Tamandua tetradactyla: one gene and its partner. The protein of the gene in region 2 interacts with the protein of the main gene of each other region in a biochemical or structural test. Links are inferred from orthologs where the notes say so. Each region holds a gene or a part of one and is shown on either strand. Other genes may lie near its edges.

Region 1 (7,321 bases), on a different chromosome or scaffold from region 2:
AGCAGGGCTGGAAAGTGAGTTCAGAAGGCAGCACGATATAGTGGAAAAGAGCCACTCACTGGCCTAGGGCCTAGCACTAACTGGGTGAACCGGGAAAAACCACCCAAGATAAAGTGGTACAATAGACAGAATCTAAAAATCTGTTTGTGTTTTAAAAGTTTATACTGGTGGTATCAACCTGGGAAGATTTCACATTTGGCAATGTCTGGAGACATTTTTTGGTCATCAGGACTAAGGCATCTAGTGGGTCAAGGCCAGGGATGCTGTTAAACATACTAAGGTGCATGGGGCAGCCTCCCCCACCCCCACCTTCACCACAAAGAAGACAAAGAGTTATCTGGCCCAAAGTGCCCATAGTGCCAGCACTGAGAAACCTTGGTTTATACAAGGGGACAGAAGAAAAGAAGGAGGGAAGGGGTTAAAACCCTATTTCTAAGTCATGAGATATTCATCAGCTATTTTTCAGCTTTTTCTACCTATAAGCAATGCCCTTTTATTTTCTCTTGGAATTATGGGGCTATGTTTGAGCAGCTTTTTCTCAAGAACATCTCCCTTATTCATCCCTAAAATGCCAAGTCCTGATGCAGTACAAAGATCTCCACTATAAGATACGGCAAAGATATAAATACAGGCAGTTTCTAAACAAGTAGAACTGGAAGGTGGGTGGTGGGGGGGTGTGGAGGGACAAAACATATACTCATAACTCTGTGTCTATGATTCAGTGTTTCTGATGTAACAGAACAGAATAATAATTATAGGACGAGCCCAGTTATGCCAGAAGCATGCAGAACTGATCTGGGGGCATGAGTGCTAGGAGAGATACAGATTTGCAGCAGCAGCAGACTCAAAGGCAAACGAAAGGGTTAAGCAATCAGCACATGTCATTTTGTATTCTGCATTAAGTCTGCATCATTCTGCATTAAGTCACTGAACAGTTATGACAAATAGTTACCTGTGGTTTCCAGTGGGGGAGAAAATAACACTCCTGTGAAGGGGTTTTGGAGAAACAGGTGCAATGAAGTCATGGTCAAACAATTTATTTACTGTAAACTTTAGACTTTGCTCAGGAAAACAACCGAAGCTGCCCCTCAAATCCCTGCCTACAATACCCCGTTTAGCAAATAAAAGGAGCGGGGAGAGTCCATGTTCACAGCTGAAAGGTCCGAGATACTCAAGATCCTCAAGTCCAAGGGTGCAGGAAGGAAAGTCTCCTTCAGATACAAATTACCAGCAGCAATATTTCACCCCTAATACTTGGCCAATGAGGTAGATACACGGAAAAGTTGCCAAAACATAGCAGATCCAGGTCCTCTGGGACGAAAGCCCTTTAGACATAAACTTAAAAGTTCCATGCAAAGAGGAACTCAACTGTACAAGAAACAAATAATCACTCGAATATGTTTTCTCTTTTTTTACAGTTTAAAAAAATAATAATAAAAAAGCAGAAGGATGTCCTTCCTCCTGCACCTCTCTATACAATTTTATTCTAATTTATTACACTCAAGTTAAATAGTCTCTTTAGTGTTTTTTTTTGGGGGGGGCCTTTAAAAAGTAGAAAAACTGCATTACAGCAGTGAGTCATTGGTACTACAATTCCTCCCTTGTGAATCAATGCTATCGTTAGGCACAGTACCTTGACAGCTCCCAAAGTCTGCTGTGCCTGGGGGGACCTCGCACAGCAGTTCGCTTTCTTTCTCTTGCCCCAGGTTATATCCACTCTGCTCCCCTGCGTAGTCAGTCTTACTGTTGGAGCTGTTGGAGTAGCCATTCCCACAGGCCTTCAGAGAAGCCCTACGCAGGCACAGAAGCTCCTGGAAGGCAATCCTGAAATCTGGGCTCCGGCAGTAGATGAGGGGATTGAAAGCGGAATTGACGTAGCCCACCCAGTTCAGGAGGATGTATACTTCCTTGGGGATGAGGTTGTCCTGGATCACATGTACAATGTTGACGATGAAGAAGGGCAGCCAGCAGAGGGTAAAAGTGCCCATGATGATACCTAAAGTCTTGAGGGCTTTGTGTTCCTTCAAGCAGAACTTGGAGGCCCTGCGATGTCCATGGCCACTCCGCCCATCCTGCTCCACCTGGCTGAGGTTTTGGGCGTGGAAGCGGCCTTCGGATTTGTCAATCTTCTGGAGCTGCCTTTTGGCCACTTGGAAGACCCTGGAGTAGACAAAGACCATGACCACCAAGGGCAAATAGAAGGACACAATGGACGAGGCGATAGCGTAGGCTTGGTTCGTGAAGAAGTCACAGCAGGTCTCCTTGGCGTAGCAGTTGATGGCTTGCCGGTGGGTGGCCCGGTACCAGTGCATCTGGATGGGCAGGAAGGAGGTGAGGCCTGACACAATCCACACCATCAAGATGACCACCCGGGCCTTATTCTTGGTCAGCAGGCTCTGGTACTTGAACGGTGAGGTGATGGCGAAGTAGCGGTCCACCGCAATCACGCACAGGGTCTCAATGCTGGCCGTGACGCACAACACATCGATGGAGGTCCAAAACTCGCACCAGAAGTTGCCAAATGTCCACATTTTCATGAGGATGTGGCTGGCCCCGAAAGGCACCACCGCCAGGCCCATGACCAGGTCAGCACAGGCCAGAGAGGTGATGAAGTAGTTGGTGACCGTCTGCAGACGCTCGAACCTGGCGATGGCTGTGATGACCAACACGTTCCCAAACACGATGGCCAGGACGATGAGGGACATCACGATGCCCATGCCCACCACCCACGCCTCGTCCCGTTCCTGCGTGACGTTGTGGTCCGGCTCTTGGCTTCCATTGGGCGCCAGCAAGAAGACGCTGTTGTTCCCGGGTTGCCCCATGGCGCGCAGGCTGGCAGGTGAGTGCACTGACTGCCGGCGCACCGGCCGCGCCTCAGCGGGCGGACCCCGGGCGGGGCGCTGCGGGCCACCGGAGGACGCCCGGAAGCCTCATTCAGCGGCCGTGAGGTGGGTTTGGCGGGGGCGCGTCCTGCACACTCAGCTTTGTGGGGTGCCCTGGGCTCGCCGTCCCCGTCAGTCCCGTCCCCGCGCTCTGGAGAAGCCGCCTCAGAGTGCGCCCTGCCCGTTATGTGCACTGGACTTTAGGGGACCTGCCCTCCCGGTGACGCGCGGCAACTTTCCGCCAATGGCGCGCGGGCAGCCCTCGCGTTCCCGCCCCGTCCCCCCCCGAGCCCCCCCCCCCCCGCCACCTCCCAGCTCGCGGGCTCCCGGCGTTGGCGCGGGCGGGGCGCAGCTGCTCCCCGGCGGGCGGGCCCATCACTCCCTCCCGGCTCCCCCGGGCGGGTCCCAGGGGGCTAAAGCGGGGGCTGGTGTGCTCGCCGGCGAAGCCAGGCGCTTTGGGCTCTGGTGTGGCTGTTACCTGTCGGTCCCGGGCGCCTGTGCGGACTGGGCAGCGCACGGGCACCTGCGGGAACAGAGGTGAGGGCGCCCCCCGAGACACGCATATACAGGCACAAATGCTCCCTGACAGACATGCTCAGACTTATACGGAACCACAGACACCGAGACACACCCGTCCAGCGCACCGACGTGCACATTCGCGCGCGCGCGCGCGCACAGAGGCAGACAGGCACAAAGTCACCCTGTCCAACAGAGACGCGGCCAGAAACAAACACAGGTTCACCCAGAGGCACAAAGGCACGGGCACGGGGAGGGAAAGAAGGCAGCACGCACAGACGCTCGCCTGGAGGCTTGCAGAGCCACGCAGACACAGACCTCCTCGTCCAGGAACTCCCCAACGCCCCTCAACCCGAGCAGATATAAATGACGCTCCCCTCATCTCCACCCCCAAACACACACACACACACACACACACACACACACACACACACACACACACACACACACCATATTCCCTTTCAAACATTTGGCAAGACCACAGGAGGTGACTTCAACAGCTGCCGATTTCCTCAGTGCATTCACTGTCAAGTCCTTTTGGTGCCCTCCTTGGGAATTTGCAGGCATTGAGACATAATTTCACTCTGGATTTCCGTGGGAGCTGGGGTGTTCATGCCTGTGTTTGGGATGGAGGGAGGAAGTTTTATGCTTTTGTTTTTAATTCTTGGGAGTGTGGCATCACTCCCTCATTACCTGTTTGAATGGACCTAAGTTGAAACTGAGATACTTTTCAGTTCAATGTCAACTTGGGAATCCCCATTGCAACGAAAACAAAACAAAATAACAACGACAAACCTTTCATCAACCCCAGATTTGTTAATCTGTGGTGTTGAACCATATGAAATTGCCGTTAATTACCCATTTTTACGTTCAAAAATGGTAATTTCATATGGCACAAACTACTTAGAAGGTATTAACATTAAGAAAATTTGAAACTCTAGAAACTATAGTTTCTATACATTTGAAACTATAGAAAGCAAAATATAAATCTTCTTTTAAAATAATCATACCACGATGAGATAGAATGAGGGTAGAGGCTGGAGAACTGGTGCTTAATTTGTGCAGAATTTTTAATAAGCTTGATTGTAAATGTTTGAAAAATGACAGAGGCAATGGAGACACATTATTGTGAAAGTAATTAATGGTGCTGAAATATAGGTGTCATTGTGTTTGAAAGGGGAAGTTTAGGGTAATGTATGCCACTAGAAGGAAAGCTGGAGGATAAAACCTGGGACTGTATAACACTGTGAACCCTTTTGTGGATGATGTTAATAGTACATATGTAAGAATTTCTCCCATGAACTAGAACGAATTTACATTACTACTACAAGCTGTTAATAATAGGGAGGTATATGGGGAAAACACAACTAATGCAAAGTATGGATTAATAGTTAATATTCTTTCATCAGTTGTAACTAAGTCACCATTGCTAATATTAGGGAGGTATAAGGGGGTGGGATTTTTCTTTTTGGAGCAATGAAGATGTTCTCAGATTGATTGTGGTGATGAATGCACAATTCTGTGACAGCCATCGATTGTACTCTTTGGATGGATTGTGTGATGTGTGAGTAAAACTGCTTTTTAAAAAATCATGCCAACTCTTAAAACTAAAGTCTTTTGTACATGAAATGCTTTCCTTTGGCATCTGACATATGATGTTACTGCTAAGAATAAATTAATTTTCAGGGTTTGATTTTCACATATATTAACGGTTTTTGAACAACAAAGTGCTTCAAGCAGTGTAACCAAACATACTTTGTAGATTATATGATAATATAACAACAGCTGACATTTATAGAATATTCTGCTATGTGCTTTTCATGTATTATTCCATTTAATCCTTTCCAAAGTCCATTGGTGGGGGGATGTTACTATTTTTAGCTTAATTCACAAATGAAGCTCAAATAGCTTTCCTGTGGGGGGCACATGGAGAGATAGGATTTGATTCCTGCCTCTCGCACTGATTCTAAAACTCATCTTCCAGTCTTTTCAATGTACTGCATCATTACACACAGGAATGGAGGACAGGGAATAAGCACTGCAATTGGAATTAGGATAGTCAGGTTCCAGAGTCATGTATTCATTGAGTTTTCTAACTCACTGTCCTTAGGCAAGTCACAAAGCTGAAGCCTGATTTGCTCCATCTCTAAAGGGGCAAATAAAATCACTTCCATTGAGTTGAGTAAGAATCGAATGATATAATACCAATAAATACGAGGGTGCTTTTGCACGTATAAATGCCACACAAATATGGATTATAAATCAAGTTGATATAGATTAGCGTGTACTGTTAGTCTCCTGTACCTAAACAATAAAATCCTTTAGGACAAAAGTAATTTGGTGTTTACGCTAGAAGTAAAACCCAGGAGCAAAATTTAACCTACATGTCCCTTTTAATCTCCTTCAATAGTAGAAACTGGTTTGACAAGAAAGATGCCTGAAAAAAAAAAACAAATATTTTCCCTAATAGCCACAAATGTTAGTTAAGGATCTATTATGTTCACATAGTTTTCAAAATATACCCACCCCATATTTGTGTTTTCCAAAACTGGCTCTGGTGTGATGCATTTTAGGAAGAGGCAGTGTCTGTTATGCAACAAGTTCTCTTAAAATATTCATCTACCATGAATTGTGGAACTAAGCCATTTAAAACCTCCTTCCTGTTTGTGAAACTATGGAATAAATAAGCATAGTGTTTAACCTTCAGATACAAAAAAAGAACAACATCAATAAAAACTAAAGACAAACACTAATTGATCATCTAGATTTATACATAAGTCACTTAAATGTTTATCTTTGAATATTTTGGGAAATACCTTTAAAAAAAATCCACAAACACTTAAATCAAGAAGGGAAAGGTGCTATGTAAACTAAGAAGTTCCAGGCCTTGCCCATCAGTCTTGCTAGGAGTACAGTCTCTTTGCTACATTGCCAAACTGGAGGCGATTCCAAGATATTGTCTTCTCGCCAAGAGTCTTTTCTCCTAGATTCCTTTTAGAATCACGAGACTAGAAAAAGTTGGAATGGCAAAGAGTTTACTAATTTAGTTTATTCTCATCTGTTTGCAATTGAAGAAACTGAAAGGCAGAAAGGAGAAGTCCAAGGTGGGAGGGCAAATTAAGAGTCCAGATCTGCTCCTGACCAATGCGTTTCACTTGCCCGCTGCTGCCGTTTCATTTCCCAGCAGAGGAGTTTGACTAATAACTGTTTTTTGTGCTTGAGGCTTTAGACAGTTAATGGTTCAGTTGAAAGTTCTTAGTAGACTAAACGCACCTTTATTTGACGTAAGAAAAAGCAGGCTCTTTTATGGTGATTGATAGTGTCCAGTTACAACTTTTGTTGGTCCCTTAAGACACTGATGTGTCCTTTCCTTCCTGCCTAACAGAGAGTAACAACACATTTTGATTTACCTATCAGGAGTAGAGCTCTGTGGTGCCAGACAATGAATCCCTCCCATAACTGCATGGCTTAGGAACATCTTATCCTGGGTCTTGGTTTAGACCAGATGCCTTCCATCTTTATGATCCTTTGAGAGGAGAAACATTTGTAGATTTCTTTCTAAATGATTGTTTTAAATGTCTGTGCATAACATCACCTCTGTTATGCATTATCTCATTAAATTTGCATTAAATGAGATAAAATTATATAAAATGCTTAGCATGAGTCCTTGCAAAAGAGGTAGTTATTATTGTTATTTTTTATTTTTATTTTTTAGCGTATGGGCTGTAAATTAAAGCCAGTCTCCCGCATGGCAGGCAAGCATTCTACCACTGAGCGACCTGTGTACCCTGTGATTTTATTTTGAACCAAAATATATATGAAGAAAACCTATTTGTCTTATCAAGCCATATCTGTGGAGGGACCCTTTGAAAGCGGATAACAATAATTTATTTTATGTTAAATTGCTGTGAAAAATAATTGAA
Region 2 (7,231 bases):
GCTGCCACCTCCAACCCCATGCTCATGGCAGACATCACTAATCAATCTCAGTACTTTTGATCACTGAGTCTTTCTGTGGCCTCAGAATCCTCAAAGGGCACTCCAGGAAATCGCTGGTCACTACCAAGGATATGTAAGGTGACACCTCCAAGCCATCCCCTAGAACTGAGTTTTGTACTGTAAAGGAGTTGGTGAGGAAGGCCACTCGGGGGAGGTGAGACTTGAGCTGTGCCTTGAGTTATGGATAAGAATAGGGCTAGGGTGCACAGGTAGTGGTTAGAATGCCTGCCTTCCATGCGGTAGACCCGATTCGATTCCCAGACAATGCACGCTTCCCCCCACCCTCCCCCCTAAAAAAGAATAGGGCTAGAGAAGGCAGAATGTGGACCCAGATGAGAGAATGCACAGGGCATCATGTCCTGGGACCAGTGAGTAGGCCAGGGCAGAAGAAGGAAGGGCAAGAGGGAAGAGGAGAATGGCCTGGACCTTGGCCTGGCCTGGCTCAGCTCAGCTCACCCTCTCCCACAGGCCTGGCTCACTGAGATCCATGAGTATGCCCAGAGGGATGTGGTGATCATGTTGCTAGGCAACAAGGTGAGTGGCTCAATGACAGGGCCAGCCCACAGCCAACTCCCCACAGCCCCAAGAGTGTGATCTGGATATGCTTTAACAAAGGATGCTTCCCAGTCCCCAGCTTAGGGGTGACCTCAGCCCCTCCTGTCTATCCTCTTAAAGTTTTGGAAATGGCCTCCCCCAGAGAAAGCCTAAACTGCTGCCTGAGAGATCCAGGGTTGCCTGGCTACTCAGCCCCCATCAGATCATAGTGGGTGGGGACGAGGGTCAGGGACAGAGATTGGGAAAGGTTAACCCAAACTGCTGTCGCCTCTCTGAGGCTGGGCCACCACACCCTTTGCCAAGGAAACTTACCCACCTCCCGGGCTGGGGGAGAGATCCCAGGGATGGGAACTCGGTGACCCAGCCTGAACAAAGCAGAGCCCCTGCTTTGTTCACAGCCAATCACAGCCGCAGCCTCACCCCCCAGACTCTGACACTCCTTCCTCTCAGTCCCGTAGGCCACCAGCAGGGGGTGGGCAGTGGCCACTCCTGGGGCAAAAGATGGGCTAGCTGGGGCAAGGCTCCCTGACCCCTCCCCAAGTGACCCATATGGCTTGACAGGCGGATGTGAACAGTGAAAGGGTGATCCGTTCGGAGGATGGAGAGACATTGGCCAGGGTGAGTGGGTGCCCGCGGGCTGGGGTGAGGGGCGAGGGTGGCCAGCGGCAGCAGGCCCTGAGGACACCCTCTCCCTGGCAGGAATACGGAGTTCCCTTCATGGAGACGAGCGCCAAGACCGGCATGAACGTGGAGTTAGCCTTTCTGGCCATTGCCAAGTGAGAGCTGAGCAGGGGAGGGATACACCCCTACAGGCAGGGTGCATCCGGGTATCCAGCAACACTGGCCGGGCCTCTGCACCGGGCCCGGGGAGTGGGGCAGATGCTGGGCCCCTCACTCCCAGCTCAGATCACTGCTTCTTCCTCTTCAAGGGAGCTGAAATACCGGGCCAGGAGGCAGGCTGATGAGCCCAGCTTCCAGATCCGGGACTATGTGGAGTCCCAGAAGAAACGGCCCAGCTGCTGCTCCTTCCTGTGAATCCCAAGGGCTGGGTGGAGGCTGCTGAGGCCCAGACGATGCAGCTACCTCCCCACACCTGGTGTACTCCTGAGCAGCTGAGCAAGGGGAGAAAACAGAGGGACGCAGTGCCCAGCCCCTTCCCTAGAGGGAGCTGTCTTCCCACTCCTTCTCTAGTTACTGTAGTTTCCCTGGCATCTCAGGGGAGGGTAAAGCATTTCTATTTCACTTTAATGATACCTAATTTAATACAAAAAAGGATCCCCAGGGTGCCCAGAAGACCAAGGTAGGGACACTGGCCCAGTTGCCTTCCAGCACTAGGACCAGGCCTGCCTCCAGGCCACACAGAAGAGGCTTTGCTCCAACTCAGCACCAGGGGGCACTGATGCACTTCTGCCCAGAACCCTAGGGTCCAAGGGCAGGTAGGGACCTGTTTCCACCCTCTGTGCAGCTGGAGAAGGGCTCAGTAAACCCATTCTTCACTTCCTCCAGCTCTCCAGGGAATAATTCTCCCAATAAGATGTGGGAGGAGCTAGACTAAAGCCTCAGGGAAGCTAATAGATATGGAGATTGGAGAATGCCCCAGCTCCCCAGAGGGGAAGAAAGAAGCAACAGAGACTGGAGTCTATGTGGAATACCTTCTAGCCTTACTGAAACCCCCCTCCTGGAGGCATGCCCCTTTCCCTCCTGGATACAAGCACATTGCGGCACCTGAGGATATTTAATTCCTGTTCTCTGGACCTCAGATCCCTGCTCTTATCTACCCCCAATCCCTCCCCAAATTTCTGGTCTTATCTGCTTTTCTACCTGTGCCTCTAGACACAAGTAGAGCAAGGGAAGGGTTTTTCTTCTTGTCCCAAACCCTTGGCAGGCATGCGACCCCCTAGCTGCTTCTTCCAGCAGCTGTAGTACTTCTGCTGGGTTGAGTCAGATAAAGAGAAACCCCTGGCTCCTGCAGCAGGTGGGAGACAGACCCAAATAAACCTCTCCCCACGTGAAGCCCCCTAAACCTAAGCTCTGCCTCTTCCCTGACCACCTAGGCCCATTTCTTAACTTCTCAGACACTAGGGTCAAATAAACTTTATCTCTACTCCTTCGGAGTCCAGTTTGGGAATGAGAGGTCCAACGTAATGTGTGCAAAACAAGGTCATTTAGTTAAGTGTCCGGTGAGGACCAGGGGTGGCAAGGAGTCTGGGTGGGGCCAAGGTCACAGGTCTCCCAGAACCCTGTGGATTGGGAGTGGACAGGAGATATGCAAGGCATGTCCCAGAAGCACCTTTACCCTAGCTCTTAGGCCTAGGAAGCTTGAGAAAGAGGTAGACACAGCATATTTCTGGGGATACTGCATTTGCTTTCAAGGCAGAAATCTTGCTGGCTGAGCAGACTCAGCTGCTCTTCCTTGGGCCTGATAAGGAAGTTCCCTTGGCCTCTCCCAGAGGGAGCAGGGAGGGGTCACACCTCATCAATCTCCCTTGGGACCCAAGCGACCCAGTCACAAAGGCTGTTTTGGACCTCTAGCATTTGTGTGTTTGGGGCATTAAATTGCAGTATTTTGGAAGTTATAAAGGGTATGTACACTGCTGGCTTTGAGGCACACGTGGGAGGGGGGCATCGTGTTGAAGGGATGTTATTGTGTTTGGGGGGAACTGTCATTGGGAGCCAAACGTATTCAATCTTCATCATTCAACAGAGTACACCCCTAACAAGAGTACACCCCAGCCTCTGATGGGCCCTCACGTGCCAAAAGGAAAAGCTGCAAGAAGGCTTCTCTTATACAAGCCTCATTTCTCTTTGTTGAAAAAAGTCAGGTGTTCTTTTCCTGCGGTCTGTATCCAGACGTGGAATTCCTGACTCTGTCCTGCCTCTCCCCACCCCAGCTCCCTAGCCTAAGGCCGATGCCATGGCCACACCACTGCCCGAGGTGTCCTGTCTTTAGACGGCTCCCCGCGAAGCCTCGGGCTCTCTGCAAAGCGCTCACCCTCCCTGGAAGGGATGTGAAGCTGCACTCCCATAAACGGATCCGGGGATAGCAGAAACTGACTCCAAGAACGGGAAAATATCGTCATCTAAGCAACTTTATTGGGTCAGAGGTGGTCCTGTGTCTTATTCACAACCCCGTTGGGAACTCGCTGACCAGGACCTGGAGCGGTTTCCCCGGCAACAATCGTCCACCCCTCAACTGAAGCTACACCCAGGATTTGGGCCGTTAAAACGTTAGGGTCCTTTACCCTAGGGTAGGGTGTCCTCAATCCCCCGCCACAGGTGGGTGAAACCAGAACGGAGCTCACGGGCCCCTCCGCCCAGTACCAGGAACTCGGCCCTGCCCCCGCCCCTCCCGCCGCGACTCCGGCCACTTGGTAACAAACACTTCCACTTCCTGAGTCCTCTTTCTTCGCCCGCCGCGGGGCGCCGCGCCGAGCACTGGCCCCGCCCCCGCAGGATCCGATTGGCCTACGACGTTCACCCGGCCACAGCGCCCCCACCCCGTGGGCCCTGATTGGCCCGCGGCGGCCCACACCCTCGGCGCGGCCCCGCCCCCGGGGTAAGGGGCTGGCGGGATTCTGGAAAGCTCAGACGCCGCGCTCCGCGGGGATTGGTCTGCGCGCCTTTCCTCACGCTTCCCGAAGTCGGCGGCCGCCGCTCCCGGGACACCTGCTCTCTCCGCTCGGCTGCGGGGAGTCCCTGCCGCGCTCCCTCCCGCCTCCCGGCCTCGCCAGGCCGGAGAAGGGCTGGGCCGGCCACCGACGGGACGCGCGTCGCGCCGCTGAGGCGTCGCGGGGCGAGATGAGCGCGGACGCGGCGGCCGGGGCGCCCCTGCCCCGGCTCTGCTGCCTGGAGAAGGGCCCGAACGGCTACGGCTTCCACCTGCACGGCGAGAAGGGTAAGGTGGGCCAGTTCATCCGGCTGGTGGAGCCCAGCTCGCCGGCGGAGAAGGCGGGGCTGCTGGCCGGGGACCGGCTGGTGGCGGTGAACGGAGAGAACGTGGAGACGGAGACCCACCAGCAGGTGGTGAGCCGCATCCGCGCCGCGCTCAACGCCGTGCGCCTGCTGGTGGTCGACCCCGAGACGGACGAGCGGCTGCAGAAGCTGGGCGTCCAGGTCCGGGAGGAGCTGCTACGCGCCCAGGACGGGCCCGGGCAGGCCGAGCCACCCGCCGCCGCCGAGGCGCCGGGGCCTGGCGACGAAAAAGAGGCGCGCGAGGCCGAGAAGAGCCCCCCCGAGCGGGTAAGTGCGGGGCCCAGGCGGGGTGACGGGGACCCGGGCGTCTCGGAGGTGCAGCCCCGCGCCCGCTGCTGTCTTTCTGGAACTCGAGCGGCGAGGAGGGGCGGCTGCTTCCGCCCGCCGACCTGGCGCATCTCCAGTTCCTAGGCAGGCCTGGGGGCAGCGTCCCACGACCCCAGCATCCTTTCCACACTGCCTGGGCCCCTGAGCGCCGTCTGCCCCTCTTCTCGGTTGGTCTTGGGGTTGGCGGGGAGGGGATGGGGGCGGCCCAGGAGAGCCCCGTCCCTTTGCCTCGGCTCTGTTGGCGTTTTCGCCCGTTCCTCGGAACCCTCCAATTAGTTGTGTAATGGCCCTCTCCTCGGCGGTCCCCACCCTGTAATTGGGCCGGCAGGAGGGACCCGCCGCCTAACCTTCCTCCTCGGCCCCTAGGAGGGGGGTAACTGAAGCCGGAGGAACAGCGAGCGTGGCCCCGACTTCAAAAAGCCAGAAGAGTCCCAATTTCCTTTACATGCGGAGGCCCAGCCCCGGAGTGGGAAGAAAGGGGTGTCGGGCGGTTACTCCTGGTCTCTGTCTTTCTCCTCTGCCCGAACCCTCCATGGTTTGCGCCCTTCTTCAGCTCTCCTGGACTTCATCGTCCTCCTGCAGACCTGTCTAAGCAGCTGTGTGGGGGAGGGATGGGAGGAGGAGACGCAGAGGCGTCTGGGGGTGGTGGCGGCTCTGCCACCCAGGAGAATTTATGATTCTCAGGAATGTGAGGAGTAAGCGCTAGCCTGTATCAGGGCTCGGCAAGGAGGACTTTGGAAGAGGAGAAAGAATGCAGGGGGACGGGTTGGCAGTCGGTGTATCATACCTAGGCAGGTGGGCTTCCCCCAGCATCCCCTGTGGCACTCTTGTCCCCTCCCAACAAACTGGTTGCTTGCTGCTTGCCTGCATTTGGTGTTGCCCCAGACGATCCCAGTTTGGATCAGCTGCAGGAGGGGCAGCTGGCAAAACAGGCATTGCTGTTCTGAGCCTCATGTCCCCTAGGGAGGGACACTGGGAGGTCCCCCCGGGTGCAGACAGTGAAGTGCAGGGCCTAGGCTCTGCCGGGGTCCAGTGAGCTTGCACCAGCTCTCCCTGGTGGCAGCGTGTAGGAAGGGTGCCAGTGGTGCCAGTTGGAGCCTCCTTGGGCAGAGGAAGGGCATAATTCGGCTTTGAGGTGGAAGGTGGAGCCCCAGAAGACCAGCTGGTTTAGTGTAAGTGAGGGAAGTGAGGTCACTAGGAGTACTGTCCAGCCGGAGCCGGGTGCTGGGAATGCCAAGGCCGCCAGGCTCCCACTTCCTGCCAGTGCCAAGCTGGCATTGGCAAGGGGTGGGGGAGGAACCAGAGCACCCCTGGCAGGGGGTTAACACCAGGGAGTTAGAACCAATGACCTCTGGTTCCAGGTGGAAAGCTGGTTTGAACTTTGTGCTGAGTGCATCGATTTGCCTTTTTTGTTGTTTGTTTTGAACTTTGGCACCAACACAAATAACGCCCCCCCCACACACACACACACACACACGTTGCGGTTGTGTTCAGCTCCTCCCTTTGCCCTTTTTGTTCTGCTGGGTGCAGTGCCCTAGGGCCTGGGAGGGAGTGCGGAGACTGGAGGCTTGGAAAAGGCAACGCACACCCAGAGAACAGCCCTGCTCTGAGGACTTCTCTGGATGAGAACAGACTGAGACTCCCCAGATGTTGGTTTGCTACTCGGCCTACCTACACTTGTTTGTACTTTGCTAGGTCAGGAGAAGGGAGCAGAACCACTTCCAGAGAGTCCTAGGGAAACCATAACCAGACCTCTCTCAGGTCACAGGTCAACAAGCAAGCCACAGGGCTTCCCTGAGCCCTGGTTTTCCCATCTGTGAAATGTGGGTGTTGTAGGATCTCCCAAATAATTGGGAGGTTCTTGAGCTCCTACTAGGTGCTTAGTTGAGCTCCTTCAGGCCCGGGCGCTCATATCCCAGATTGTGTAGCTGACTCCTTCCACCTTATTTATGGCCAGTCAGGCCTGGCCAGTCCCTCTCCGTATGGTGAGGGGTCAGGCAACCCACCTTGCTGTAAGAACTTTTTTTTATTTTCGCTAAAAGCCATTCCTTTCCTACATAAAACATCAAATCACCTTTTTTTACTTCTTTTTTTATTAATTTTTTTAAAAAATACAAGAAAAACATTCTTAACATATGATCATTACGTTCTACATATGAATCAGTAATTCACCATATCATCACATAGCTGCATATTCATCATCATCATTTCTTAGAACATTTGCCCCAATTCAGAAAAAGAAATAAAAAGACAACAGAAAAAAATTCATACATACCATACCCTTTACCCCTCCCTTTCATTGATCATTAGCATTTCA

The links.
Region 1: the proteins of NHERF1 (region 2) and ADRB2 form a complex in vitro, tested with the Homo sapiens proteins (3 studies listed by BioGRID and IntAct, with this or other methods). The link is inferred for Tamandua tetradactyla from reciprocal best matches to the Homo sapiens genes NHERF1 and ADRB2.

What each region holds. Positions count from the first base shown.
Region 1 is NC_135346.1:29,580,543-29,587,863, reverse strand, and holds the start of ADRB2 (beta-2 adrenergic receptor), read right to left. Parts: upstream 3,042-7,321; 5' UTR 2,823-3,041; coding exon 1,566-2,822; 3' UTR 1-1,565. UniProt on the Homo sapiens protein: Beta-adrenergic receptors mediate the catecholamine-induced activation of adenylate cyclase through the action of G proteins. The beta-2-adrenergic receptor binds epinephrine with an approximately 30-fold greater affinity than it does norepinephrine.
Region 2 is NC_135332.1:15,205,558-15,212,788, forward strand, and holds the start of NHERF1 (Na(+)/H(+) exchange regulatory cofactor NHE-RF1), read left to right. Parts: upstream 1-4,176; 5' UTR 4,177-4,413; coding exon 4,414-4,854; intron 4,855-7,231. Other genes in the region: RAB37 (ras-related protein Rab-37), read left to right, coding at 529-594, 1,177-1,233, 1,315-1,391, 1,545-1,650. UniProt on the Homo sapiens protein: Scaffold protein that connects plasma membrane proteins with members of the ezrin/moesin/radixin family and thereby helps to link them to the actin cytoskeleton and to regulate their surface expression. Necessary for recycling of internalized ADRB2.